4 linked regions of the Pelodiscus sinensis genome follow. The protein of the gene in region 4 purifies or fractionates together with the protein of the main gene of each other region. This does not show direct contact. Links are inferred from orthologs where the notes say so. Each region holds a gene or a part of one and is shown on either strand. Other genes may lie near its edges. The genes, in order: VANGL1, VANGL2, KCTD3 and PTPN3.

What was found.
Region 1: the proteins of PTPN3 (region 4) and VANGL1 purify together in Homo sapiens (affinity purification with mass spectrometry; 4 studies listed by BioGRID and IntAct, with this or other methods). This does not show direct contact. The link is inferred for Pelodiscus sinensis from reciprocal best matches to the Homo sapiens genes PTPN3 and VANGL1.
Region 2: the proteins of PTPN3 (region 4) and VANGL2 purify together in Homo sapiens (affinity purification with mass spectrometry; 3 studies listed by BioGRID and IntAct, with this or other methods). This does not show direct contact. The link is inferred for Pelodiscus sinensis from reciprocal best matches to the Homo sapiens genes PTPN3 and VANGL2.
Region 3: the proteins of PTPN3 (region 4) and KCTD3 purify together in Homo sapiens (affinity purification with mass spectrometry; 4 studies listed by BioGRID and IntAct, with this or other methods). This does not show direct contact. The link is inferred for Pelodiscus sinensis from reciprocal best matches to the Homo sapiens genes PTPN3 and KCTD3.

The regions. Positions count from the first base shown.
Region 1 is NC_134711.1:143,780,709-143,788,648, forward strand, and holds the start of VANGL1 (vang-like protein 1), read right to left. Parts: upstream 3,015-7,940; 5' UTR 2,932-3,014; intron 1-2,931.
Region 2 is NC_134734.1:25,162,860-25,169,925, reverse strand, and holds the start of VANGL2 (vang-like protein 2), read right to left. Parts: upstream 3,011-7,066; 5' UTR 2,739-3,010; intron 1-2,738. UniProt on the Homo sapiens protein: Involved in the control of early morphogenesis and patterning of both axial midline structures and the development of neural plate. Plays a role in the regulation of planar cell polarity, particularly in the orientation of stereociliary bundles in the cochlea.
Region 3 is NC_134713.1:149,721,780-149,729,685, forward strand, and holds the start of KCTD3 (BTB/POZ domain-containing protein KCTD3), read left to right. Parts: upstream 1-4,899; 5' UTR 4,900-5,318; coding exon 5,319-5,392; intron 5,393-7,906. UniProt on the Homo sapiens protein: Accessory subunit of potassium/sodium hyperpolarization-activated cyclic nucleotide-gated channel 3 (HCN3) up-regulating its cell-surface expression and current density without affecting its voltage dependence and kinetics.
Region 4 is NC_134712.1:148,659,396-148,666,822, forward strand, and holds the start of PTPN3 (tyrosine-protein phosphatase non-receptor type 3), read right to left. Parts: upstream 3,011-7,427; 5' UTR 2,908-3,010; coding exon 2,859-2,907; intron 1-2,858.

The sequences.
Region 1 (7,940 bases), on a different chromosome or scaffold from region 4:
TTCCTTGTGACTCCTCCTCCAGCTCTAAGGCTACAGCAGCCTTCTCCAAATTTTTGGAAGTTGAGCCTGTACCTCTTAGTTTTTACATCCTCTATGCCCCCCATGCCTCTACTCTTTTGTGGGCCCCTTGGAAGGGGACCCCCCACAACAACCAACACTTTAAGAAACTCTGGTGTTATATCCTATTGTGAAGGCTATGCTTTCATGAGCAGTGACATAGTGAACACTTGTCATTTAAAGCATCTTGGTCTCCGAGTTTGTGTTCATTAAAACAAACAGGGCAGTTCAATCTCGGAACCATTGTTTCAGGCCCCTGGCAAATGCAGGTATACTAATCTGCATTGGCAATATTAAGGTCATGTTTTCAAAGTTCTCTAACAGCTAGACTTTTGGGGGTTCTTCCAAATAAAAGCTGAGACTCTAGAAAACAATTGAGAGGTCTGTTTGTACTCTTCGGGGAGCTGCCCTACCCTGTAGGGCCCTTTGCACTGCTTACACTTCAAGGGAGGGGATGGAAGTCAGTGGAACTACAATCCCAAACTCAAATCCCTACAGAGCAATCTAGTTGGGCTCCACAACCTGGGATCTCTTGCAGGAGCTCCCCCATCCTTTTGGGGGAAAGAACTGGGCTTTGTAATGCCTTAAAAACCATGGAGGAAGGGTAGGATTTACACCAAAAAGAAGTGTGAAATCCCTCTAATCATCTCCATGGGACAGCAAACCTGAAGTGAAAGGAAGGAATTATTTCCCAAACATATTACTTTGACAGTAGTACCCTGTCAGCCCTTTCCTCTTCTTTTGGGAGAACTAAATCAACAAGGCACTAGCAGCTGCTAGCATTCTGACAATTTATTTCATGCAAACATGCTCTGAGCAGTGTCGGAGGTTATGGTGCTTAGAATACTGGTCACTATCTGGAGCCCTGACTACACTAACCTTCCCACCAATGGCAGAGGTGAAAGAACAGTAGCAAACATGGCAATTTAGCAGCAGAATACTAATTTAGAGGTAGTCTCTGTATCTGCATAGCTTTCATGTTCCTGGCGGATAGCCATTGGCCGTTAGCTACCTCTCTGTGTGGCTGAACGTGTGCTGGAAAGCATTCCAGAATTTTGACTTGCAAAATTTTTTGGTAAATGGGAGGCGTTTTTTTTTTTTTTTTTTTTGTAAATGGGGTTTTGTTTTTGTTTTTTTGTTTTGTTTTTGTAAACGGGAGGTTTTCTGTAATTCTGATTTGTTCATCTTAAAAATAGATAGATAATCAATTCCTGTAGGACCAGTACTGGTCCCATCTTCACAGCCAGTTATATATTCAAACCACAAAAAGGGGAAAAAAGGCAAGCCTGTTTAAAATCAAATTCTTAGAAGGTTAAATACACAGCAACTTTGAGGCAAGAATAACTAAGCCGAACAGCAAAAAAAAAAAAAAAAAAAAAATCTCCCACTAATCAAAACTATTCCCCCAACTGATATTCTAGCACTCAGTACAATTGTTAGTTGGGCCTCCTTAGATGGGCTGATACCTTGACACTGGCATCTTCAGGAAACACGTAGCTAAAGAGCCCAGCCTTTGGAGCAAGAATGTTATTTCGAACCATTAAGTAAACATTCTAAACAATGGAATTAATTCTCTCTCTCTCTTTTTTTTTTTTCCGGTCATTCAAAGTTCACAACTGATATAACAAACTGACAAAAGTAGTAACTTTGTCCTCTGCAGGGACACAATCACACCCTATGTTGCTAAAAACTACAGGAGTGCCAGTCCTCTGCAGCCCAGATGCAGGCCTATGCTTTTGAAGCAGAAGGGTGTTAAGACTTATTTCTGTTCCCTAAAGGTTATTAAATCGCCATGGTCTAAGAACAGGCAACCACACAGGCCTGTGTAGTCATGAATTGTCACAGTAGACCACCTGATCAAACCAACTTCTGTATAACTAAATCACGTTATGCTTTACTTGCAAATTGTGTCTTATACACACACCTACAGTTGCCCACACGCAGGACTTGGAATTTAAACAACTTCAATGGACATCATCCAGGGAACTAGATATATTTGAGGAGCACTGAACTCAGCTTTAATTCACTTGTTTATTAATCCATTATTACTTTGCTTCCCACACGGGGCTTTACAAATGTATTCCCACGAGTGGGAAGCTTTCCCTGGCAATCTTGTAGTCTTTTCAGGTCTGCTGGCAAGCCCCAGTGGGCCTGGGCCGCGGCACATAGTCTGAAGTTAGCGAGAGCCCAGTTCTGCACATTGCTTTTATCCAGGACTCTGGGCAGCCGTGCCAAACGACAAGACGCTCATCTGATGCATGCTGACACATGGGAACGCTCTGAGCAGCAGAGGCAGACGAACAAGAAAACAGAGGCTTGGGCAACCCATGCAGTAATCAGGAGGCTGTGGGGGGGGGGGGGGAGAGGTGCGCGGGGTGCCCAAAAGGGGCGGGGATCAGGCACCTACTAGCCAGGAGCTGGAACTAACAAGCGCACTCGCTGGGAGCTAGGACTTGCAAGCCCCCCCCCTCCCCGCGCCTGTCCCCCCCCACTCCGATTCAACGGAGGTAGAGAGACTCCTGCCAGAGTGAAGCCCCCGGGGCCACCAGACACAGGCTCGAGCTCGCACGCAGCCCAGAGCCATGCCCATGCCGGCCGGCGCCCCTGGGAGAGGGGGCAGAGCGCACGCCCGTGGCGGGGCAGAAGAGGCCCGGCTGGGGGGTGCGGGACTGCGGGGGGGGGCAGGGCCTCCGTGCCCGGGGATGCTGCCCCGCGCGTGGGGAGCGGGGCGCGAGCCGCCGCAGCAGGACCCCGCAGGGAGCGGCTCGGCGGGGCAGCCCCGGGGGCGCGTGCAGGGCGGCGGCAGGGGAGGGGGGCGCGTGCAGGGTGGGGCCCCGGGGAAGCCGCAGGGGGAGCCGGGCCGCCCGCACCCACCTCTCGCGGCCGCTCCATGCTGCTCCCGGCGCCAGCCCCGCTGCAGTCGCTAGCCCCGCCGCTTTCCGCTTCCTGTGCCCGGCGCCGCCCCGCCCGCTGCAGCCCGCCCCGCCTGCAGGGACCGCCCCCTGCAAGACCCCCCCCCCCCCCCATCTGCTGTGAGCGGCCAAGGACACCCCCACCCCGCTCCAGCACCCCCCACAACAACACTCCCCGAAGCACCTCCAGTGCTGAGGCCGCCACCTGGCACCCCCGCAGCCTCCTGCCTCTCCTCCCCCCCCGCTCGTCGCTCTCCCACTGGGACCTACTGCAAGCTCCCCGCAGGGATCCCAACCTCCAGCCGTGTAAGTACATGAGTGCTCCGCTCTAAGGCTATGTCTACACTCCAAAAATCTGCAGCGCGTCTACACTGCCAGTCCGCTCTTGCACAAGGAAATGTACAGTCCGGCGTGGTAAGAGAGGGCTTCTTGCGCAAGAGCGACGCTCTTTTTTAACAGGTGTAAGCCCTCTTGCGGAAGAGGGCAGTGTCGACACTCGGCAGGGATTTCTTGTGCAAGAAAACCCTATGGCTAAAATGGCTGTTGGAACTTTCTTGCGCAAGCGAGCGTCCACACTGCCATGGGCACTCTTGTGCAAAAGCACAGCGCACATGTGGCAGCGTGGACGTTTTCTTGCGCAAGAAGCCGCAAGTGTAGACATAGCCTAACAGTGGCAAGAGCTGGGGCAAAAGCCAGCAGGGAGCTACTGAAAGAGCTGGCAGGGACCGAGCTTGTAGTAGGACAGTGCCTAAAAGAAATGTGAAGTTACGTTCACCACTGCCACCATGTATTCAGCACCCGGCTCCTACACACACCTCCCCACCCACCCACCTTTTTGAGGACCAGTCCTTCCCAGTTCCCACACTAAATCCTCTCACTCCCATCTCAACCTCTTGCACCTCCACTCTATTGCATCCATTTCAAGTACTCTTGCAATATTCCCTCTTACAAGATCAGCCCTCTCCACCCAGGGCTCAATTAATCACTATGGACACACATGCCAGGAGGCTGCAGTGACCTGTAGTCCAGTCAGCACCCAGTGCTCTTTAAAGGAATCCAATAAATCAATAGAGGCTGCACAGAATAACTCTGGGTGAGGGAAGTGACCAAGGACAAGAAATAAGCCCTGCAGTTGCAGAGCTCTCTCCCTGCTTGCCTTGTCTAGCTTCTTCTTCCTAGTCTGGTGGGTAGCCATTGTGGTCTAGTGGACAGGACACTAAACAGGGAGTCAGGAGACTTGTGTTATATTCCTGGCTTTGCCACTGACCTCTGTGATCTAAGTCACTTTACCGCTCTGTGCCTCCGTTTCCCCCTTTTGTCTTGTCTTATTTAGACTGTAGGGCTACGTCTACACTGCAGGCTTTTTGTGCAAGAACAGCTGTTCTTGTGCAAAAACTTGCAGAGCATCTACACTGCATGCGTGATCTTACACAAGTAAATTTACAGTAAAGCATCAGAAGAGAAGGCTTCTTGCGCAAGAGTTATTCCTCTCCCCACAAGGAATAAGCCCTCTTGCAAAAGAGCTCTTGCGCAAGAAGGCAGTGTGGACAAAACCAGGAGTTTCTTGCACCAGAAACTCCTATGGCTAAAATGGCCATCAGAGCTTTCTTGCGCAAGAGAACATACACACTGCCATGGATGCTCTTGCGCAAAAGCACATGGCAGTGTGGATGCGCTCTCGCGCAAGACCTTTTTGCGCAAGAACTCTTGTGCAAAAAATTCTTGAGCAAGAAGCCTGCAGTGTAGACATAGCCTAGAATTTTCAATGGCAGAGCAAGCAATAGAATCGATATCTCCTGGCTTCCTACTGTGTGCTTTAACTACTAGTAAATATTCTGTCATTTAAAATAAGACTATATTTAAAGTAAGACGATATGCTACTCATGTCTACACTGGCACTTCTCTAAATCTTTGTCCCTCAGGGGTGTGAAAAAACACCCTACTGAGCACAAGTAAACAGGCTGAGCTCCCAGCACTGTTAGCTACTCTCCTCATTTAAGTGATTTACACAGTGTTGGGAGAGTTTTCTCGCAGTTCTGGTGCTGTAGCCATACTTTCACTTTAATAATTTTTTAGAGCATAGACTACATGGTCATATGTTAACACAGGGCACAAGATTATTGTGATGTTATTTGGGGGATGGTAGATTATATGCATCCCTTTTTGTCCTCCTCTTCCCTGAGTAATGCCACAGGTTGTATCTGAAATATATAGAATCAGAGGCTACGTCTACACTGGCATGATTTTCCGGAAATGCTTTTAACGGAAAAGTTTTCCGTTAAAAGCATTTTCGGAAAAGCGCGTCTAGATTGGCAGGACACTTTTCCGCAAAAGCACTTTTTGCGGAAAAGCGTCCGTGGCCAATCTAGACGCACTTTTCCGCAAAAAAGCCCCGATCGCCATTTTCGCGATCGGGGCTTTTTTGCGGGAAAAGAAATCTCTGCTGTCTACACTGGCCCTTTTGCGCAAAAGTTTTTCAGAAAAAGGCTTTTGCCCAAACAGGAGCCGCATAGTATTTCCGTAAAAGCACTGACAATCTTACATGAGATCGTGTGTGCTTTTGCGGAAATTCAAGTGGCCAGTGTAGACAGCTGCCAAGTTTTTCCACAAAAGCAGATGATTTTGCAGAAAAACTTGCCAGTCTAGACACAGCCATAGATCTGAGAGAGACCTCAGGAGGTCATCAAGTCCAGCCCCCTGCCCAAAGCAGGACCAATCCCAGCTAAATCAACCCAGCCAGGGCTTTGTCAAGTGGAGACTTAAAAACCTCTAGGGATGGATATTCCACCACCTCACTAGGGACCCATTCCAGTGCTTCACCACCCTCCTAAGGAAAAACTATTTCACAATATCCAACCTAGTCCTCCCCCACTGTAACTTGAGATCATTGCTCCTTGTTCTGCCAACCCTCACTACTGAGAACAGCCTCTCTCCATCCTCTGTGGAACCTCCCTTCAGGAAGTTGAAGGCTGCTATCAAATCCCCCCTCACTCATCTCTTCTGCAGACTAAATAAGCCCAAATCCCTCAGCCTCTCCTCATAGGTCATGTGCTCCAGCCCCCAAATCATTTTGGTTGCCCTCCACTAGACCCTCTCCAATGAGACCACATCCTTTCTATAGCGGGGGGCCCACAACTGGACACAATACTCCAGATGTGGCCTCACCAGAGCTGAATAAAGGGGAATAATCACTTCCCTAGATCTGCTGGTAATGCTCCTTCTAATGCAACCTAATATTCCATTGGCCTTCTTGGCTACAAGGGCACACTGTTGACTCGTATCCAGCTTCTCATCCACTGTAATCCCCAGGTCCTTTTCTGCCAAACTGCTACTTAAACGTTCGGTGGTCCCCAGCCTGTAACTATGCTTGGGATTCTTCTGTCCCAAGTGCAGGACTCTACACTTGTTCTTGTTGAACCTCATCAGATTTCTTTTGGCACAATCCTCTAATCTGTCTAGGTCACTCTGGACCCTATCCCTGCCTTCCAATGTATCTACCTCTCTCCCTAGCTTAATGTCATCTACAAACTTGCTTAGGATACAAATCCACCCCTCATCCAGGTCATTAATAAAGATGTTGAATAAAACTGGCCCTAGAACCAATCCTTGGGGCACTCCACTAGAAACCAGCTGCCAACCTGACATTGAGCCGTTAATCACTACCCGTTGGGTTCGACAGTCTAGCCAGCTTTCTATCAATTTTACAGTCCATGTATCCAATCCATACTTCCTTAACTTGCTGGCAAGAATATTGTGGAAGACCATATCAAAAGCTTTGCTAAAGTCAAGGTATATCACATCCACTGACTTTCCCATATCCACAAAGCCAGTTACCTCATCGTAGAAGCTAATCAGATTGGTCAGGCATGACTTGTCCTTGGTGAATTCATGTTGACTATTCCTGATCACTTTCCCCTCTTCCAAGTGCTTCAGAATAGATTCCTTGAGGATCCCCTCCATGATTTTTCTAGGGACAGAGGTAAGGCTGACTGGTCTGTAGTTCCCTGGATTGTCCTTCTTCCCTCTTTTAAAGATAGGCACTATATTTGCCTTTTCCCAATCATCTGGGATCTCTTCCGATCTCCATGAGTTTCAAAGATAATAGCCAAAGGCTCTGAAATGACATTTGTCAACTTCTTCAGTACACTTGGATGTATTAAATCTGGACCCATGGATTTGTGTATGTCTAGCTTTTCTAAATAGTTCTTAACCTGTTCTTTCTCCACTGAGGGCTGCCCACCTCCTTCCCATACTGCATTGCCTAGTGCAGTAGTCTGGGAGCTGACCTTGTCTGTGAAGACAGAGGCAAAGAAAGCATTGAGTACTTCAGCTTTTCCCACATCATCTGTAACTAGGTTACCTCCCTAGTAATAATACATAGTTGATTTATTATATTTGATCTATATCTTATTTTGGGTTACAACAGACTGTTACAAAGCTGATTAAGAATTAGATGAAACTCATTTCACTCTGATTTGGCAGTACCCTTAGTATTTAGCAGTACAATATCCACTTTGCAGTGGCATATGACCAGGGTGTACTAGAAATGGAATATCAGATTATTAACTCCATTTTATATGATGTGCCAAACACATGTCTAAACTTGCCTGAGGGCATCATATTGAATTGCATTCCTGACAGTTGCTCTGCCCTGGAATGATGATTTGTGCAAGGACAATGACAGAGCATTATGGGGCCATTGAGTGAGGGACTCAAATACTGACCAACTCCAGTGGAACAATGATTTTTCTATGCTGGGGTTTGCATCTGGGGCAAGCTTAACAAAGGGACAAGTGGGCTGGAATTTCCCAGTTTGATCCTATTGCACAAAGGAGAGCCCCTTAGAGTTCTGCTCTGTGTGTCATTGACCACCAATGTATGTAAGAAGAAAGTTGTACTAGTTTTAAAAAATTACCTGGTTTAGAGGGGAAGTGAAGGCAGATATAATAAATGAAAGAATAGAGAAGTTGA
Region 2 (7,066 bases), on a different chromosome or scaffold from region 4:
GCGGTGCAGAGGGAGAGGAGGATGGTACCCGAGCACCGGCGCCCTTTGCGGGAGAGCGGCTAGCCAGGCCTTGGCCCCAGCCCTGCATGGAGCCTGTCACTGGGGCCCAGCTCCCCGGGATCCCTGTGCAGGGTCCGGCCCTAAGGAAGCAGCACAACAGCCTGCAGGATCCCCAGGCAACCAGGCTTAGAGACACGGTGGCCTATTTGCCCTCCTCCGCTCCAGCCATTCACCCGGCACAGAGCTGCCCGTGGCAAAGCCCCGCCCCTCTCCACGGTCCCGTCCGCTCGTGCTTTGTGTCTCCCCACGAGGAGCCCGGCAGTGGGAGCTACAGGCACTGGGAGCTAGAGGCAACCGACGCTGCCTGCCCTGAAGAGCTTACGTCCAAAAACAGACAAGCCTGGTAAAGGACAGGAAGGGAAACTGAGTCACACAGTGTCTTTTGGTGCACATTGAAGGCGCACTTGGCGCGCCCCTCACTCAGCCACGGTCATCGCCAGCTTTGAGACAAAGCGCATAGTGGGGGTGCGGGGAGCCGCCGAAGCCAACTGCAAACCCAGCCTATGCTGGAAACGCCTTCAAGCCAGCGGGTGCAGCAGCCGCCCCCCTCGGTCCCAGCCCCCACTGCAAGGGCTGGTCATCTCGTCTGCACAAACCCGGCCCCCTGGGACACGGATCCATGTTCCGCTTCGCTTCACTGCCAGCTCATTTGCACCAAAGGGCCTTGAGCACAAAGGCCGCCCGGGCCATGCGGTGTCGCTGACCCCCACAGAGCAAGCTCAGCCCCACGCCAGGTCAAATCTCAGAGTCACTCCTGGGGTCCCCGGGCCTGGGAGGGTCAGGCCAGCCCTCCCCCCCAGCCTTGAAATCGACAAGCCACTGCGGAGTGGAGTTTGCTCAAAGGCTCTGACATCCCCTTAGCCCTCGACAGCCACCCCGGAAAGGCCGGAGCCCAAACTCAGCACCCAGGCCAGCCAGGAAAGGAGCCATCTCCGGCTGGAAATGAAGTCATCTGCTAATTACATCAGCGGGATTCGGTGCAGTAACTCCAGGGGAGTCGGGCTGGCATGAAGCGAGACCAGGGACCAGACGCTGTCTGCCTCCGAGCCCAGATAGTCCCAACACAATCCAGAGCTGCTGTGATTAAGCGCCCGCCCCAGGGGCCCTGGGAAACTATTTTTTTCAAAACCTCTTCGTCAGTGATTCCAAGGCCTGAGGGGAAATGGACTCTCGCCCCCTTCCATCGGGAGACAAGGTCCCAACCCAGGCCGAGACCTGAAGCCAGATCTGGAGTAATCCAGGAGTAACTCCAGTCGCCGCTCCACTGTGCCAGAGGTCAGACTGGTGTAAACAAGCTCTGAATCCGGCCCCTCGCTCACTCAGATCAGGGCAAGCAAGGCTGGCGCATCCGCCTGGGAGTAACACACATTCACATCTTTGCCCGCAGCCCCACCAACACTTACTTGTGCTAATTCCTCAAAACAAGGGATCATCACAGGGGGCGAGGGGGCCAGATACGAAGCATGAGAAACGCCCCCAGCCTGCCCCAAGTCAGGATAATTTAACCCAGTTGCCAGGCCAAATTGCCACCTTTCATTTGCACAAACTGTGCAATGACAAGAGAGGATATTAGGGGGTGTGTGTGTGTGTCTCCCCCCCGCCAAGGAACATGAATTTGCACCAGCCCTGAGACATTCCCCTCGGCCCCATGAGGAATTCGGGTCTTATCAAGACTTGGGAGTTTGTGCATGGATGTAGTTACACAGATACAAATCCCTAGTGCAGATACAACAGCATGGGTGTAAAAAGGTGATTTACACCACTGACAGCTCTCCCTGCTTTCTCCTGCCTGGGGGGTGCACCCCTGTTTACACGGAGGTCTGCACTAGTGCAGCTGTGCACGGATAACCTAGAAACCTTAAAACATACCCAGCTTTTCTGTATTGGGAGGGTCTAAATGCTTCCTTGTTTTTCCACCTGGCAGGCACTTACATTGGCACCATGAATTTCACATGATTGTTAAACCAAAGGTAAAAAAGGGGAGGAGGGGAGACTTGTTGGAATACAGACCAGGCATCCCCTTCTCCCCCGTGTGTCTGGGCCCCCTTTGATCCCAGCCTCCCCCGCTGCGCATTGGGGATCTGGCTCTCCCTGCCGGGTGGTCTGGCTCGTGTGAAAGGGACCCTGCCTGCGGACAGCCCCCTCCTGGAACTGCTCCATCTGCAAAGGCCAGGGCGTGGGGATGAGCCGTGCAGAACCCACCCCCACCCCTCACAGTTAAACAGAGGTGGGAAATCAATAGCGGCCCCCCCTTTCCTCGGCTCCGGGTCGGGCCTTCCACAAATATCTGCGCCTCCCCCGCAGCAAGCAGCCCCACCTGGCCCCGGCCCCAGGAAAGCCCCCGGCTCTGAGGCCTGCGCGTGCAGGGAAGGGGGAGCCGAGCCGAGCCGAGCCAACAGGTCACACCAGGCCCACTGCCCCCCCCCCCCGCGTGAATGGAAAATTGCCCCGCGCCGGGGACCCCCCCAACCTGCTCCCCGCCGGGGATCCCCCCAACCTGCCCCCCGCCGGGGATCCCCCCAACCTGCCCCCCCCGCCGGGGACCCCCCAACCTCCCCCCCCCCGGGGACCCCCCCAACCTGCCCCCCGCCGGGGACCCCCCCAACCTGCCCCCCGCCGGCGGCTGCTCCCTGCGCCCGCTCGGGGCCGGCGCTTTGCCGGGTCCCGCCCCGACTCACCAGGCAGCGCCCCGCGATCCGCGTCGCTCTCGGCTACAGCCCGGGGCCCCGGCGGGCTCCCCCGCGGCTCCGCCCGGCCCCTTTGTCCGCGCCCCGCGCCCCGCCAGCCGGCATGGGGCCGGCGCTCGCCCTCGGCCCGCAGCAGCCGCCCGGCAGGAGGCGTCGCGCCCGGGGCCGCCCGCCCGCCCGGGAATCGCGGAACCCGGCCGGGAAGCAAAGCGCCTGGGAACGGCAGCGTCCTGCGCCCGCCCGCGCGCGCGCGTGTGTGTGTGTGTGTGTGTGTGTGTGTGTGTCCCCTCGCGCCGTGTGACCCCTCCTCGGCTGTTCCAGGAGCCGCTCCCCCGCCCCCCGCTCCCCATTGTCTGCGGGATGAAGTTCCCAGAGTCCCCCCCCCCCCTTTTGTTTTACTGGGACTCGGTGCTAAGGGGGGGAAGGAGCGGCGAGCGGGGGGGGGGAGCGCAGTGTCTGCCGGGCTCTTTCTTTGGAAGATTCCTGCGGGGGGGGAGGCGGCCAACCCTTCAGATTTTAGGGGGGGGAGGCTTTCCTGTGATTTCCCTCCCCCCGCAAGCGGGAGCGGGAGGGGAACTAGATGCCCAGCCTAGCCCAGTCCCTGGCATTTTTCTCTTGTTACGTGAAGGAGACGGGAGAAAACCACAGAGCCCGCCCCGCTCCGCCCCGCCGACTGAGGATGAAATTAAGCTCCCCCTCCCCGCAACTTTTTACTAAGGCTGGGTGACGTCAGTGGCCCCTGTCCCGCACACAGAGCCACGCAGACTGGCCCATGGGTACTTCCCTCCTCTCTGATTGGCCCAGCCCTTCAGGCACTTAGCGCCATGAATTGGGCTCCGATGCACCCCTGCCTTACCCTGAACTTCCGGCCCCCTTTTGCAGCAGGAAGGGCCAAGAGGGCGTAGAGCAGCCCCGGACCAGAGGGGTTGCACCGGTGTAAATGACTGGGCAAAAAAACAGGGCAGCTGTATTTACCCCATGGTGTTTAGAACCTTACAGCTCCCACAGTTCTCACTGAAGGGCCAGGACCATTGATCTCAAGGGGGATTCTCCACAGTTCTTAATGAGGGGCCAGGACCATTGATCTCAAGGGGGATTCTCCACAGTTCTTAATGAGGGGCCAGGACCATTGATCTCAAGGGGGTTTCTCCACAGTTCTTAATAAGGGGCCAGGACCATTGATCTCAAGGGGGTTTCTCCACAGTTCTCAATGAGGGGCCAGGACCATTGATCTCAAGGGGGATTCTCCACAGTTCTTAATGAGGGGCCAGGACCATTGATCTCAAGGGGGTTTCTCCACAGTTCTCAATGAGGGGCCAGGACCATTGATCTCAAGGGGGTTTCTCCACAGTTCTCAATGAGGGGCCAGGACCATTGATCTCAAGGGGGTTTCTCCACAGTTCTCAATGAGGGGCCAGGACCATTGATCTCAAGGGGGATTCTCCACAGTTCTTAATGAGGGGCCAGGACCATTGATCTCAAGGGGGTTTCTCCACAGTTCTCAATGAGGGGCCAGGACCATTGATCTCAGGGGGGATTCTCCACAGTTCTCAATGAGGGGCAATGGCCATTGATCTCAAGGGGGATTCTCCACAGTTCTTAATGAGGGGCCAGGACCATTGATCTCAAGGGGGATTCTCCACAGTTCTCAATGAGGGGCCAGAACCATTGATCTCAGGGGGGATTCTCCACAGTTCTCAATGAGGGGCCAGGATCATTGATCTCAAGAGGGTTTCTCCACAGTTCTCAATGAGGAGCCAGGATCATTGATCTCAAGGGGGATTCTCCATAGTTCTCAATGGGGGGCAATGGCCATATGGCCATTGATTTCAATGGGGAGATTTTAGGATCCCCCCCCCCATTTACATTGTAGCTGTCCACAGAAGTGTGGTTGGTGGGAAGTTTGTTTTGAATGAAAACCTGAAAGCAGAAAATTGTACAGTTCTATAAAACAAGCCAGTTTTTTAACCAAACCTCCAAATTGTTGGCCGCTGGCTGCCGACATAACAGCGCCTGATCTCGGCAGGGGTCTCTTGCCACCGCTGTGCTATTTATGGCAATAATAAATAAACCAGTTAAGCTGCACTTGCTGACTCCTAACATCTTCACTGGGTAACTTCACACTTCCAGTCTTTCTCAGGCCTTCCTCCTGGCAGCTTTTGCCCAGGTTGCACTACTCACAGAGGCTGTGTCTAGACTGGCCAGTTTTTCCAGAAAAACTTGCCAGCTGTCTACATTGGCTGTTTGAATTTCCGCAAAAGCACTGACTTCCTACTGTAAGAAATCAGTGCTTCTTGTGGAAATACTATTCTGCTCAGCTATGTCTACACTGGCATGATTTTCCGGAAATGCTTTTAACAGAAAAGTTTTCCGTTAAAAGCATTTTCAGAAAAAATCGCATCTAGATTGGCAGGATGCTTTTCCGCAAAAGCACTTTTTGCAGAAAAGTGTCTGTGGCCAATCTAGATGTAGTTTTCTGCAAAAAAGCCCCAATCGCCATTTTCGCGGCTTTTTTTGTGGAAATCATTTGCGCAAGAGGGCCAGTGTAAACAGCACACTACTGTTTTCCGCAAAAAAGCCCCGATCGCGAAAATGGCGATCGGGGCTTTTTTGCGGAAAAGCGCGTCTAGATTGGCACGGACACTTTTCCACAAAAAGTGCTTTTGCGGAAAAGCGTCTGTGGGCAAAATACCCCCATATCAGAGGGGACCTCTTCCACAGCCACTCGGCTCTGGTATAAATGAGTATGCAAAAGCTCAAGCAGCAGAGGCTGATGGCATTTAGTGCTAATCTTTGGGAGATCTCACAGCACTGGACAGGGCTGTAGTGTTGTCTTCATTAAGTGGGGAAACTGAGGTATCAGTGGAAGTAAAGCAACTTGCCCAAATTCCTCAGTTAGCCAATGATAGTGCTGGGAAGAGAATCCAGCTCTTCTGAGCCTCAGAGCTGTGCTCTAGCCACTAGTCCCCATCACCTCATATATATACACACTACTGCCCAGCCAAGTTTGGGGCCAGTGTTCTCTGTAAGCACTTTGTGAATGCTTGGGTGGCCACCCAGGAAAGATTCAAATGCGACCCAGCTGATCAGCAGAGCACCCACAACCTGCAGCCTGGGTGGCACACATCCACACATGCCCAGTGCCACATGCGGCACTCATCCACACATGCCCAGTGCCACATGCGGCACTCATCCACACATGCCCAGTGCCACATGCGGCACGCATCCACACATGCCCGGTGCCACATGCGGCACTCATCCACACATGCCCGGTGCCACATGCGGCACGCATCCACACATGCCCGGTGCCACATGCGGCACTCATCCACACATGCCCGGTGCACAGAACAGAATTCATTCCACACATGGCGGGAACACTGATTGGGGTTGTTACATTCAGAGGTTTCCCTTCACCCTTCATACATCTTCCATTGTTGTTAGAGACACAAAAATTGTGCTTGGTCTGAGACCCCATTACCTCACACTATGCAGGCCATTGTGTCATCCAACTGTGATCCATATGAGGCTGAATGGAAAGCTGTAGCTAGCTGCTTCAAGGCCTCGTTACTTGTCCCCTAACCATACTTACATTTTCCTTCCTCCCTGTTGCCCCAGGGCACCTGGAGTGACAAATTGCGCAGCCCTCTAAGGAGATTAGCAGACATAATGAGAGGAAGGAGACAGGAGAACTCCGAGAAGGTGGCACAGACGGTCTAGAAGGGAGGAAAAGTCACGTTCACTGTTTATAAACTCATCACAAAATCTCAGGCAGTGGCCACCTCTTCTTTCATGAACCAAGGGCAGGACAATGAGGGATGGTGCAGCCAGGGGAATTACGCTGCATCTCAGGGAAACCTCTATTCTAGCCATGAAAAGACAAAGTCAGAGTGCCCGGGAGGTTTGGAATAAATTCTCCAGGCTGATCCTAGGCACCAGTCTCGCCCCAGTGGCACATAAAGGGATATCAGGCTGGAGAGGCATGGATAATTATGCCAGAACCCAGCCTCTCCCTGCAGGGGTTGCTGTAGTGCACAGAATGGGAGCCTTGGCTGTGGAATGGGGCGAGACACCAGTTGTGGTTTCTTCCAGCAGGGAGTGTTGTGGGAATGAGGCAGGAGTGTGAGCTGTGGGTGGTGCCCCCGGAGGCATCGGGTCTGCTCTGTGGGAGGTGAGGGAGGGGGCGGGAAATGGCCCGATCCTCCAGTTCCAGCCTCTCCCAGCAATGGGAGAGAAAAGCTGAGGGCACCTGCTAATGCACTACCTAGGGCGGGGGTGGAATCTCCATCCCTAGAGGTGTTTAAGTCCCAGCTGGCCAAAGC
Region 3 (7,906 bases), on a different chromosome or scaffold from region 4:
TAATGCCCTTTTGTGTATGTTGTGAGAGAACATAAAACAATCATTGAATAAAATATGCTGGAGAAATCATCATGGTCTTCCATAGGAATATCTATAGAATAGAGATTTGTAAGCAATAATATTGATGAGAGTACCTTTTTTCAAGTTTTATCTTTCCTCCTCCCAGCTATGTCCAATGCTATGTCCAAATATGTGGTGATCATGTAAATGGACTGTTTCTGGAGCAGTGAAAGATAATGCCACTGAGATTCAAGACAATTAAAGGCTATTTTCAGATATTTTCCTGCCCTCTCTTCAAAATAACTAAGAACAATCTGACCATTTATTCTTAGAAGTAATATTCCTAGTTTCTTATAGTTTATAAGAATCATACCCCCCTCAAAAACAGAATAGAGAAATGTAAGGAGTCTTTACAATACATAAGGACACTGTAAAAATCATACATCATAATCACACAAAGTATTATTTTGATATGTTCAGTGCCTTGTGTAATCTATGCAAGTTAGGGTCAAATTCTGTGATAAAGCTCCCTAGCTTCTTCAACACATAGCAGCAGCTTCACAGAAATTTTACAATAAAGGGTTAAATATTAAGGAAAAATACAATACAATATTCTTTTGTGTTATTTATTGTTGGTTCCATGGTGGCTCTTAGTCACAGCTCTGCATTGGAGGGAGAGAGCCTCACAGTTCCCAAAGGAATGTTAAAATATATTCTGCTTCAAGGGGGATTATGTTTCATAGAGGACACATCAGACTTACTGAATTTGTACAGCAGAGAGTCTCAAGAAGAGATAATTTCCCTGGGATCTCAGGAATTTGGAGGACTAACTTGAAACCCTATCTTTGATGTAGGAAGAACCTTACCGGGTAACTGGTTACCGGGTAACTGGTTGACAGGTGCCCAGCGCAACTGAAGCAGCCCCCTGTTTGTGGCATGGTGGGGAAGGCCCTGCCGGCTGGGCCCACGTGCTGCCCAGAGAGTGGTTGCTCCAGCCTGACCAGGCCCATCGCTCTGCAACACGAGCAGGGAGCTTTTCTAGCTGCCCCTTGCCTATGTTACAATGTTATGGTTAACCAGTTAAACATATAGTTTAACTGGTTAACATTTTAAATTGGATTTTACATCCGTATAGAAATGTACAAAATAACTTTAAAAAAAGACCAGCATTTTTTTTTTCAAATGTAATAGTCTTAGGTGAAACTTGTACCAATTTTCAGGCAAAGCAGTGACATTTAAGTTAACTTTTGAAGTTGACATTTTCCCCTTTCAATAAGAAGTTTGAATAGTTCTTAGCAATAATGACTGTAGTAAATTAATGGTACGTTTATGCAAATGTTAGTGTTTCCCACAAAATCTCTGCATGTGGTACACTTGTGGAAAGTTTCTCTGTGTATGCACTGAAATAGTCATTAACTTCAATCTGTGGTAACCTCAGAACTATAGCTGTGGTTTTCCTCTGACAGTAGACTGATGCAAAGTTAAATCTTTTCACAGATGTTTAGAAAATCTTAACTACTGATTATGTAACAAAAGGCAGTGGAACTGTAGTCCCCTCCTGAATCTAAAACTTCTAAGTAGACTACTCCTCACAACAGTTTTCTTTGGGGATACCCCTTTAAAATGAAAGCATTTCACCACTATTAATAAAAAATGGTTTTGCAGATGCTAGGATTGTGACTTCTATGGGGATAACATGTGTGGCTCTCTTAAGAGGATGCCAGAGTTGTGAAGCACCTCCCTACTACCTGCTATTACTGTGAAGCAGTCTCATCTGTGTCTGCTGAGGGTCAGCTCCGTAAAACCAACCGCCTCTGGCAACATAAGCACTGCCTTCCAGGCCTCAGCGGACCTACTTCTTTATGTGGAGACTAGTGAGAAGGCACAGAGTATATCCTCAAAGCGCTCCCTGAAGTATTCAGTGGTTAAGGGCTGCATTGTTGCTATCTTCAAGAGGTCACTGTACACTCAAGCTGGTTTGATTCAATTGAGGATCAACTCTTTTATAATATCACAGCACTGAGGTATATTTCTAGTGAAAACAATTGTAAGTTTATTATCACAAGCTAAGTTAAGAGATAGTGAGTACACATTGTTGAAACACATTATTATATATAAAACAAAATATAATATATTTCCTAGATTATAAACTTAATTTTTCAGGCTAACCCTCTCTCTCAAGTAATTTATCTCACCTAAACAAATCTCACAGTATCTTCTACCAACATAGCTGTCATCTCTTTCACAAAGAAAAAAAAACCTTTTTGCTTATCAGTGAAAAATAAAAAGATATCCTTTTGCCTTTTCCTCATATGTCCAAAATTCATTGTTGGTCCTAGAGTTAGGATGACACCACCCTTGCCCACAAGTTTATTCTCTGGTGCGCTGACTTCATGTTAATTTAATATGCAACTAGACCTTCTATTGTGTTGGCTTACAATACTCATTTTACATGTAAACTAATGATGCTAGAACTAGAGAGAAGGGGTTGCTGAACCCCTTGACTGAATAATAACAAAAACCAAATATATGGTTTCCATCAGCAACCCCCCACTATAAAAATTAGTTCAACACATCTAATGTGAACCACAGAAGACAGTAGACAAAGTAGACAGTACATCCCTTTGACAAAAACCTATATGTAAACCCTGCTTTGAGTAAGACTTTTAAAGACTTCTTTTCTGGCATATATTAATAACTCCTTACACAGTGTCAGGCAATACGTTTTACAATTATCTTAATGACCAGTATGATCTTGGTTTGCATTTAAGATCTCACATCACTTTCTTGATAAATACTATGAAAGCAGTGTGCTAGGAGTACTGAGTATGTTAGGCCTGATAGGTGGTGTTATACAATATCGAATCCTTTACCAGTTAGTACCACTGGGCCTGTGTGTGGCAGGGTAAAAATCATAGTAAATGTTTTGTTTGAGGAACTTCCTGGGGATCGTGAGGATGGCATCCACTCCATAATTAGCCCCTCTCTGTAAATACTTTTTCAGCATACAGATTGAAATTGCAGTTACTACCCCTCTTCATACCACTGAATCACGTGAGCGAAGATTCAATAGCTCTGACACTCGCCCACCTCTGGTGGTTCTCTCTATATGGACTAATTGGAAACTAACAATTAGCCCCCTTGTACAACATAAAATGACTGCAGAGGTTCCACTGTAAGGCTGTGACCCTGATGGCCACTCTGCCCTTGCAGAATGACAATATTGGGTTTAAATAGTGCTGGGTAACTGGCACAAGACCTTTGTATCTTGTCAAATTGTCACCTACTTGAAAAAAGCCCAGATTTATAAATTCTTACTCTTTGAAAACAGTAAAACCTTGCTTGGCTGTAAGACTTGGTCACAAAGCTGGCAGCATACACTCACTCCTTCAAACCACAATATTATGACTTTCTCTCCTAAACTATATAGTAATTTATTTCTTTGTCAAAATTCCATTACATGCTGTAGTAGGCTGATTTCGTTTTCAAATTGCATTGTGGTTTCAGAGTTGCAATATATGTTCTGCCAACCTGAGATGTGCATCTCTTTATGACCAGCATGTTTCATTGTACAAAGGACAATACACATTATCCTTTAACGCTGGGGCAATCACGATACACCCCACGGGGTCAGATCCAGCCTAGCAAGACTTTTAATAAGTCAATGGCCTGCTTCAATGGGACCCTTGAGCATGGAGCAGCTCCATATCGCTCCAGGACAGGCATAAGGATCTTACGCAAAATGGGGGTTTTGCACAAACCCTCCTCCCCCACGTCCACACTGCTTCTTTTTGCGCAAAAACCGCTTATGCAAAAAGAAACGGCAGAAAATATACTAATGAGATTGTGACTTATGCTAATGAGTTCCTCATTAGCATATTTTCTGCTGGAAGATCTTGCAGTGAAGACATAGTCTCTCTGTACTTACATGGCCTTCAGTGGTCCCACATAATGAAAAGTATGGTAAACAAAAATCCCTCTATAGCTTTCCCTTTTGGAGAAGCTGAAGAGGGAGCAGAATTTACCTTTTCCCTCCCCTTTTCCCTTGACTCCCAAATGAAAGTACAATGGAGATGGGAAACCAAGTCAAACAACAGAGTTATGTATGTAGTTCTGAATCCTGAAGTCTGTGATCAGTCTTATCTTGTGCAGGAGTGAGTTGTATAGTCTAGGTCCACCTCCTGGGAGATTCATGTCTTTCGGACCCATAAGTCTCCCTCAATGGTTAATGAGGTTCTGATGGACTCAAGCCTTCGATGTCTGTTTAATGAGGTGATCTGTTTGGTAGCTAATGGCTTTTAATTTCATCCCACTGGCCTTAATGCTTAATAATAATAAGTAATGTAAGCATGTTTCCCTAGCTGTAGTAGCTTTCTGTAGCAGGGTTCAGTAGCTTGGTCATGTTCAAATTTTGTCTCAGATTTTATGAGTAGAAAAAAAAAGTTGTCATACAGAATTCAGACTTTGGATTTCCATCTTTGCAGTCTTGATATCATGTTCCCTGTGGATATAAAGGAGTGAGGAAAAAGAAATGCAATCATAATGTTAATGGCCTCTCAAAAATTGAGCATAGTGAATTGAGCATTTTTTAAAGAATGTGACTGTTATTAATAATTCTATGCATTAAGTAAATAGAACTTCTTAGCTTGACAATCTTCCTCCCCCTCCTTGTCCTGTGCACATTTTTCTTCGGTTTTCAGTAATCTGACTAAAACCCTTGAAAAAGGCCCTACTCCACCATTGCTGTAGCCCAGTTTTACGCTGCTGTAACTCCACTGCAACAGCAGTGAACCACGGGGAAACTGCACGGAAGAATTCCTTGTGGGGTGTGTGGGGATGGGCCCTGCTCCCCTGGAGGGGGAGGGTTGCATTCCCCTACTGAGGACTGGCGTGTGTGTGTCTGTATATTCCCGCGCGGGGTGGGCGTGTCTAGCTAGCCCCCTTTGAAGGGCTGCGTGAGCGAACTCCCCGAGACAAGAGGCGGTGGTGGGCTTCGAACCCCCTCCCCTCCGGTCCGTTTCGCGAAGAACTCAGAGTATTTTGTCCCGTGTCGAGCCCCCTCCTCCAGGTGCTGCGCGTTGCCATGGCACTTTCCGCCTGGCTCCGGCCAGGGAGAGAGGAGGCGTCGCGGCCTTTGCTGGCCTGAGGCCGAGGGGCCGCAGCTTCTCGGGGCCTGGTTCCTTCCGTGCTGGCCCGGCCCCGGGCACCCCGCAGCACGTCCCCCCGGCTCCAGCTGCCGCCTCCTGCTGCTTCCCTGGGCTCCGGGAGGTGGCGGCGGGCGCTGCCCAGAGCTGCAGGCGGCGGCGGCGGCGGGGAAGATGGCGGGGAACGGTGGGGGCTTCGCCGGCGCGGGAAGCGGGGAGATCATCCAGCTCAACGTCGGGGGCACCAGGTGAGCTGGAGCGCAGCTCGGGATAGGCAATATCGGGAGGGGGCGCAGCGGGGATGGGGGAGCGAGGGGTCCGAGCTGGGGCTGGGAAGCCCAAGCAATGGGCTGGAGGGAGGGAGGGAGGCCTGGGAATGGGCCGGAGCCGGGGATGGGGAGGGAGAAAGAAGCCCCAGTGAAGCCCCAGGACCTGGGGGAGGTGAGCGGGGCTTGAGGAGGGGAAGACCCATCAATGGGGAGCCGAGGACCAGAGAGAGGGGGATGGTAGTGGGAGCTGGGCGTGGGGCAGAGGAGTTAATGGGGAGAAGAGCCCTGGTTTGGGATTCAAGGCTAGGAGGATCGTGCATCTCCCTCAGGTGGCCCAAGGGCAGGATTTGTTTTTATTTAATATCACATAACCTGGTCCACCTGGATCTTGTTGCATTATTCCATAATCTGGTCTGTCTGTGTCTGTCTTGTCCTGAATTCCTGCTGATAGGGCTTGTCCTGAAGCTGCTGAGCGCTGGCTCAACCCAGTTGTCATTGCATTTTGGTCTTGTTGGCATCATGCTGCTAAAGGAACTCATTGTAGGGACTACACGGCTACAGACTAACACGGCTACATTTCTATCACTATTTTCATTGTAGGGATGAATGTCTATTGTGCTGTATTGCAGGTAGCTTTGTGTCTGTGATGGAGCTGTTTGGGTGGTAAAGAAAATTTGAGCCCATGTAACCTGTTGCAAAGGAGTTAAACTCAGGACCATCCAGGAGAAAAGTGGATGTTGTAGCACTACGTTCTCTTTCAATTCCAGTCAATGTCTAACGCTTTTAAGTGTTTTAAAATGGTTACTGTAATGTGTGTCTCACTTCTATGTCTGTCGTTGGCATTTAGCTCTTTTGGAATAAAACATATTTAAGGAGTTGGAATGTTCTAGTCAGAGTTCTGTATAATGAAGTGTTGGAGAATGAAATTAATAATTAATTTTGATGTCTGATTATTTTTAAGAATGCTTAATTTCTCTTTCTTTTTCTTGCGCAAAATTTTGGGGACTAAGTATTTTTCCAATGTGTACATATTTAATTTTTTTACAGTTGTAGGAAATTATGAGGTAGGGTCACGCTATAGCTTTTTAAAGACAATAGAAGTTGAGATCTAAAAAAATATTTTTTTATAACATTGAAGCACAAATTGTTGCTTTCACATGCAAAATAAACAAAGCAAATATCCTTAAATGGTTGTCATGATGAGTGCTGAAGCGGCGTTTTTCTTATTTTGCCTATTTGTATATTTTGATTAAATGGAAATATTTGTATTGGTTTCTGTGTGTAGTGAAATTAAACATTTTTCTGATTAAAATCTAATCATTCCAAGCTTATGTATACTGTACTACAAGGCCTTGGATTCTCTAGCAATCTTAGCCTGGAACATATATCTGCCTCAGATTTATTAAAAATTGAAGTTTTTATGAAATATGAAAAGTAAATCTAAGTATAGTTTTTTTTTATATTGAGTTTGGCTTATTTTTTGCTGCTCTTCTGCTTTCAATATATAATACCAGGAAGCATTCTGTATTAAAGTGCATAACTTAATTGTACATTGTGAATGCAGAGGGAGAGGGATGGATCTGGCCTGGAAGTTTTTAAAGATTTGTTAGAGAACAATTAGAGCAATTTTAGGATTATGTGTTTAATATATTAACTGAATGTTTTTGCTAAAATATTAAGCAGCAAAATAGTCGACATTATCCTTAGAATGCAACCTGAAACAAAAGAGAGAACAATTTATTGAAACAAATATACTTCATACCTCATGGAGCAATAGTTTCTAGCTGTCTGGAGATTCACCAAGACAACATTGCATTAGTTTCTGCTTACTTTGTGTTTTCGAGGTTATCTTTATAGCCATGTGGTTTAGAAACATAACTTGCTAAAATTTAAAGTTGGTATTGTATACTGTAGTTATACAGCAAACATCCTCTGTAGCAGATGTTGCAAAATCTTAGACTACATAGGGCTCTGATTATACTATATCTCTGATTCACCAAAATTTCTGCCTAAGTGATAACTTAAAATTAGTACATGTTAAACCTCTAAAATCTGGGACTCTCTCGTCTGGCAACATCTGTGGTCCAGCAAGACCATGGATATTGCTGGATCAGAGAGCCCCTGTTGGCTAGGTTCAGGGGCTGGGCTGGCGTTGGGAAGTGCAGCCTTGGCGGCAGCAGGGTTGGCATGGTGGACAGCAGAGTCCCTGTCTGGGACTGGTTGCAGGGAGTGATGCAGGCAGTGGGGCCAGTGCTTGGGACTGTAGCCCTGGCTGAGCGAGCAGAGCAGGGAACACAGCCCCAGCCGAGCTGGCACATCAGGAAATGCAGCCTTACCTGCGTTGGAGGCAGTGGAGCCAGCAGTGCAGTGAGGAGTGCAGCCCCGGCCGGCAGTGGGGCCTGGCAACCCCAGCATGGTGAAGAACAAAGCCCCATCCCTATACAACAGTGTAGCCCCAGCAGGCTGGCAGAGCTGACATATGTTTTGCTCTCC
Region 4 (7,427 bases):
GCAAACCACCCAAAGAGCAATGGAAAGACACATAGTGGTATAAATAGGCTATAGCATATTACTATCGACAATTTGTGTGCAAGAAGTAATGTCAATGATATCTAAGTTATGTACAATCAGAAAAGGAGATGGGCTGGCCATGTAGCGAGACCGAGAGACAACAGTTGGGTAGCACGCATACTCCACTGATATCCACGAGACATAAAAAGAACAAGAGGAAGGCCTCCAGCACGTTGTGTGGGTCCTTTATGGAAGATTCATGGAAGAATATGGACAAGAACCACACAAAACAGGATGGCGTGGAAAAGTTGAGATCTGCACCATTAGCGATACTATCCATATCGATTAAATCATAGATCTTCCAAGTTAGTATTTTGAAATAACAAGCGCAGCATTCACGCTACCCGCCTGTTATTTCGAAATAACGGGCTGATTATTTCAATATATATACTCCTATTTTCCTTGGGAAATAACGCTTATTTCGAAATTGTTATTTCACAATAGTGTTAGTGTGAATGATCTGGTTCTGCTAATTCAAAATAATTAGCCTCCAGAAGCCTCTCTCAGCTGCACTTGTGGCTGCTGTAGCCACACCTTGGCTGAAACTCTCCCCCAAGGCTTCCCTGAATAATACAGCCCCTTGATGTGCTCATCAAATGGCAGTGGTGTCCAGCTGCTCATATGCACTGGTCAGCCATTCAGCCTCTGCCCCCCATCCCGGCAGGAATGTCTCCCCCTCACTCTCTGAGGGTATGTCTAATAGTTAATTCAAAATAACGCCTCTATACACAAAAACTATTTCGAAATAATTTGTACTGCACAGACTGTGGCAGAAACAAGACAGTCATTGCTTCCTGAACATTGATTTCATATAAACTTAAAAGGTACAATATACAGAAAAAAGATCAAGAATCATAGTTTTATAGCCACAATACAGCAACTCTAAATATAATTTGGGGCAGCCTGAAAATACCCATTGCATTCATTTTACATCAATGCCTTGTAGGGACTGCTTCTTTGCCTGTCAAGCTGAGCCTGGTATAAGACTGATATGGGTGCAAAGAAGACTTAATGCTGCCTCGTTAAGTCCGCATTCTAGAGGCTTGCCAGGGAGATCCAAGGATTGGTTCAGTCCTCAGAGTATCCCCTGTTCATTCTAAGTTGCTTCCTGCTACCTATGGCCCCAAAGGGGCAGCTTGTCAGTTGAGGACAACTGTGCTCTGACCACCTCTCCTTGTGAACCACCACATTCCAAACACAGAGGCCTGAGTGCAGGAGAATAGCTATTGGGTCTCCCTAAACCTTCCGTATGCAAGCATTATCTTCAGGAGGCTAGTTAAGCCAATTTACAGTCTCTTTGAGCTGAGTGATGCAGAAGGGCTGAGGATCTGGTCTTAGGTCTTTCCTTTTGGGATCTATAAAACCTTCAGTAATAGGTTCAGAAAGATTCTGCCAACAGTCACGAACAAGACAAAAGTACAAAATTATCATGGAGGATTCTCCTTTTTAATGACAACCTTATCCGATTCTCTTCTTATTTAATCAGTGTAAAGAAAAAAAATCTTTCAGGAACTTGAAACAAAGAACATGAAACAAGCTACATTTCTATTTTCAGAACCAAGCTGATCCTTCTCCAAGGGTGTGTCTACACAGCAGGGCTTAACTCGAAATAAGCTACGCAAATTGAGCTATGTCAATTGCATAGCTTATTTCAAAATAGCTTATTTCGAGTTTTGGTGCTGTCTACATAACACTTATTTTGAAATAGAGCACTCTTCCTCCGACTTCCCTTACTCCTCATAAAATGAGGGTTACAGGAGTCAAAGTAAGATGTCCTGCAGCTTGACAGTATTTCAGCATTATGTCAAAATAACTTTCGGCTGTGTAGACACAGACTATGTTATTTTGAAATAATGTTGCTGTGTAGACATAGCCCTAGAAGAAAATGTTAACTGGAGTCATCCTACTTAAGCTTCCAAACCAAACAAACCTAGCAATTTGAAAGTGCGTAGCATGCCTTCAGTCTCTGCATCAGTCCTTCACTGTGGCAGGGTGTTCAACTGATTCATCAGCACACCAGTTCCACCCTGATGAATTGATTCAAACAGCTCCAGCTCCAAGTTATTCAACCCACATACATTAGTTTCCAGCCAACTAAGCTTTCAGGTTCCTGCTACATGGTTAGTTCATGTAGTGCCTAAAGTTCTATTTGCTATTGCCTGGAAGAGAGTTGATTTCTTAACATTAAAAAAAACCCTAAATTCATGATGACTTTTTATCATTCACTAGTTGTTTAATTTACCACAATTAAAGGAAATATTAGAAATTAGTATAGAAGCTCTGGAAGTTATTTTCTTGGATCAATTTAAGACTCCTGTCACTGCATTGTAATTCTCAGCTGACATTTGGACAAGCTGATAGAAAGCTTGCCAATAACTCAGAAAAAAAATAAGTTTTCACAGTGTCAAAAAAAAAAAAAGACACTGCAAGATAAAAAACACACTGTTGTGGCAAAATGCTTTCACAGCACTTCAGTCTGTCACTCAAGATATTTAAACTCATTGTTCAAGTCCTCTCGACTGAGGCAGACACTACAATACAGTTCTTTGCTAATACAAGCAATAAATCCAACATTAAATAAAAAAACCTTTCAAGATACTTCACACAAGAGTCCTTCTCTTTTGTGCTGTAAAAACCTTGATTATATTGCAAGTCTAGAAATATAAAGTTAATTGCTTCATTCTTTATAGTTTTAAGACTTCTCCTTTTCCTCTCCCATACCTAATTGCTTTTTTTCTCATTTGATCTGTCAGGTAATGTTTTTGATTCTTATATAAAAATCAAACGTGGTCACTTACACTTTTCTTGAGGACAAAAACATTTTGATAACATCTCCTGCTCCACCATAATGGTCCTTTAGGGGTGTTTGAAAGATCCCTTGAATAGCAGCACTTTGAAAAGGGAAGCTCACTTATGCAAACTTCTGATCTTCTCTCTTACGCCTAGCTCCTGTGTGCTGTCACATTAAATTGTTATTTTCCCTCCTGAGAAACCTGTAAAACAGGTCCAGGTACACAAATCTAATGTTGCAGGAGAGGTTTTAACTGTTTCATTGCAACAAATGTCCACCCTTAAAAAAATGCTCTATGTCTATGCACTGTGTTGTTAAAGGGAGTAGTTTCTTAATACTTCATTTGAAGTTCCAAAATCCACAGAATCCAACAGCCTGTGTACTTTAAAGGTAAATTAGTTTAAAATTAATTAATGTATTCGTGAAAAACACAGGACAGAATTTAAAATAAAGATTATATAGTGAATAAACTTTACCAATCAGTGTAGTACAATAAGGGTTCCTCTTTCTTTTGTGTACGTTTTTGGGTACTCTCATTAGTGTTGCTTTGTATATGTCAGTGGAGAACAGCCTTGCTATATGTGCAGTTTGGGTGTATGTTTTTGGTCATGCTTGGGTACAAATAAAAAATGCAGACAAATTAAAAATCTATCCAATTATTTAATCACTTTTAGTCATTCTTAATGTTTGGTATTTCTCTGCTTTGCTATACACATTGGCTATGTCTACCCTGGTGGCTCCTTGCGCAAGAACTTCTTGCGCAAGGGTTCTTGTGCAAGGAGTCCTACACAAGAACACGTCCACACTGCCATGTGTGAGATGTGCTTTTGCGCAAGAGCGCCCATGGCAGTGTGGATGCGTGGCAGGAGTTCTTGCGCAATAAAATTCTATAGTTAAAGCAGCTTTCTTGCACAAGAGAGCGTCTACACTTGGCTTCTTGCGCAAGAGCTACGCTCTTTTCTTATAAGTGGAAGCTGTCTTGGCAAGAGCTCTTGCGCAAGAGAGCTTACACTTGTAAGAAAAGAGCATACCTCTTGCGCAAGAAGCCATCTCTTACCACGCCATACTGTAAATCTTCTTGCTCAGGAGCGGGTGGGCAGTGTGGATGCACTGTGGATTATTGTGCAAGAACAGTTGTTCTTGCGCATGAAGCCGCAAGTGTAGACATAGCTATTATGTCTCTTTTCTCCTGATACAATAGTAGCTTGGGGGACTTAGGTTATTTTGCTGATGTAGAATAATTGGTGATTTTTCACTTTTAAATCAGGACTGGTTTGTTATTGTGTGCATGGAAGCACCCTACTCCCATTTAAACTTCAAGTGATACAACATGACTGGTCTTTTAGTAGAGGTTATTCAGTAGCAAATCCTCACATGCATTAATAAAATGATCATATTGAGATAATAACATCATACGTCTGTGAAGTGCCAGGCACACGTGGGCACTACGCAGTCCAAGGGAACTAGGGAAGACTGGAGATACTAAAGGTGTTTTTACGCCACCTTGGCAACAAAATGGATCCTGGCACAAGTTAGAAGAACCTCAAGGGCTGCTTTACCTTACAGCAGCCTTGACCTATGCTGCCTTTGCTCTGTAGCCTAGCTTTACGACAATGAAAGCTTCAGCTACTACTCCCTCCAAACCCTTCCCATGTTCCTTCCTATGATGGTATGCGTACTGGCAATCAAAATAGGCCCAGGAAATGGGTTGAGAACAGCCTTCCCCATGACATCACCCCTGTGTGCCCCTCAAACCCCGCCCCCTACGTCATGTCCGGCACGCGGCGCAGGCAGTGGGTCGGGCTCTGCATGCTGCATACAGCACGGACACAGAGCCGCTCAGAGTGAGGGGCAACGATGTGTGGACACAATGGCCCACCAGACAACGGCATACTGGGAAATTCCCGGTATCCTGCCCGGCCAGTCCGTCCCTGTGATATGCCCCATGCAAACAACAGCCACATAGGGTGCCCTCCATTCCATTTATGGCCTCTTTCCTTTGTCAGAGAGTCATAGAAGGGTCAGAGCAGGATCCAGAATTGACTGCTAAGAGGCCTGTATTTATCCCTTCCTCTTTTCTTTTCTCTTCAACATCTGTGGAACTGAATTGCATCTCACAAAAGCTTATGCCCTAATATCCTAATAAATCTGTTAGTTTTTGAAGTGCCACCAGACTCCTTGTTTTTTATTAAACAGACTAACATGGCTACCCCTCTGAAACCTGTATTTATTTAATTTTTCAATCAGTCTGCTAGGCTGATTTTCTAACTGCAAGCAATCGCCAATAACAGCCTCCAATCTCTGTCACTACTGCATGATTATCCATGTTGCGAGTAAAGCTGTTCAGTCTAATGGTTAGCAGGTGACTGGAAACCAGGAGACCTGAGTTTTGTTCCTGACTCTGCTTCTAATTTGCTCTGTCACCTTGGGCAAGTTCCTTCATCATTCCATGCCTGTATGCTTAGCTATAGAAGAGGGAAAATAATAGCTTTCTTTCTCTATAAACTACTTTGAAATCTGTAGATGAAAGAAGACATGAAGGAACCACGTGTTTTAATTAGTCACTTGCAAAACATTGTGATGAATCAGACAACCTCTGAAATACCATATATATAAAGTGCTCTGTTAAAAAAAAAAAGAAATTGGTAATGGAATGTGACCTTATCATAACAATGCAAAAAAGATACTGGGTAATTTGGCAAATATCCAATTTCTTATCTCAGCATGGAACGTTGTCAAACAAGCTAAATCACTTGTCACCTCTAGGAACAATGAGTCCTCATGGAAACAGCAAGTCCACTGGAGGTTGCTGGGAGGAAAATGACATAATATGGCAATTTCCTGTCTTTATCTCACCTGGATAAATAAAGTGTCTCATTCTTCATGCTGCCGATTCTCCAGACCCAGATATTGTCTGTTTCACTGAAAAACAAACACTTAAGGAGTTATTTTCCCATTTATGATAGTCTTGAATAGATATAGTCCAGATCAAATAAGCCGTGCTTTCCAGCTGCTGAATTTTATTTCATGTATTTTATTTAATAAGCAGTAAACAAAATACAACTATTTGTATTTAGTCATATTTTGATGTGATTACTCAAAAAGGACCCTGTCCATATTCAAGAGTTTTAAAAACAGACTATCGAGATATAATTCACCTTTGCAGGTGAAGGAGGATGGTACAATTTGCATCCATCGAGGCAGGTGTCTATGAGTGGGGATTCCTCAGTGGGAGGAGTGCAAAAGTTGATGCAGCAGCCGGTAGAGTTGTGGGAAAGAGATTTTTACTGTACATGTCTAGAGGTCAGTGTTACCTGTTCAATGACTTGCTTCTCTGGTAGAAATGTGGCCCAGTTTTCACTTCTGAGTGTAACACACAAACAAGGTCCCTCCTGAAACATTACTTTCCTTTTTCCACACTCACTCATCACTTAGAGGGAGCAGGAGGACAGCTTTAAACTCTGTGGGTGCAAGTGATCCAAGATTTATTATGATTCAGAGTATGCCCTGTGTACTCTGATACTGCCTTGCCCCAGTTGGTCCTGCTAACTTTTCAGCTGTGTTGACAATCCCTGAGCAAGGATTGCAGGCTTTTTACATCATTGTACAACTATGTTGAGACTTTCTGCAATCAAAGGCCTGCTGTCTGGGTTCCATCAGCAGATCTTAGACAGTGATTCTATTTCATAATCTCCAGTCAGCACATAATCATCAGACTCCCACACAGACAGCTTTGTTAATCATAGGATCACAGGATTGGAAGGAACCTTGAGAGATTGTCTATTCCAGTCCCTTGAACTAATCACAGGACTAAGTATTATCTGCTAGGTATTTGTCTAACCTCCTCTTAAGAATCTCCAATGATGGAGATTCCACAACCTCCCTAAGCAATTTATTCCAAAGTTTAACCACCCTGAAAATTTGAACGTTTTTCCTGATGTCCAACCTAAACTTCCCTTGCTGCATTTTAAGTCCACTGTATTATCCTCAGAGGTTAAGAACAAGAATTTTTCTCCGTCCTCACAGTAAGGATACGTCTACACTAGCCCCCTAGTTCAAACTAAGGAGGCTATTGAGGGTGACTGAAATTGCCAATGTAGTGCGAGATTTAAATATCCTGCGCTTGATTAGCAAATTCTGGCTGGTCACCATTTTGGAAACTGACTAGCCCAAAGTAACTGCCCGCGTCTACACGCGGCAGAGAAGCGCAATTCTGAGATAAACCCCTTAGTTCGAATTAACAGTTAAACCTCATTCCATAACTGCTAATTCAAACTAAGGGGTTTATCTCGGAATCGTGCTTCTCTGCCGTGTGTAAACACGGGCAGTTACTTCGGGCTAGTCAGTTTCCAAAATGGTGACCGGCCGGGAATATACTAATCAAGCGTGGGATATTTAAATCCCGCGCTTCATTAGCAATTTCAGTCGCCCTCATTAGCCTCCTTATTTTGAACTAGGGGGCTAGTGTAGACGTACCCCAACAGCCTATAATTGTTACACTCCTAGGATTATCTTGGATTAAGGTTGCTAGACTTCATATCACATTCATCACAAGGAAATACACTGTTTACTCACT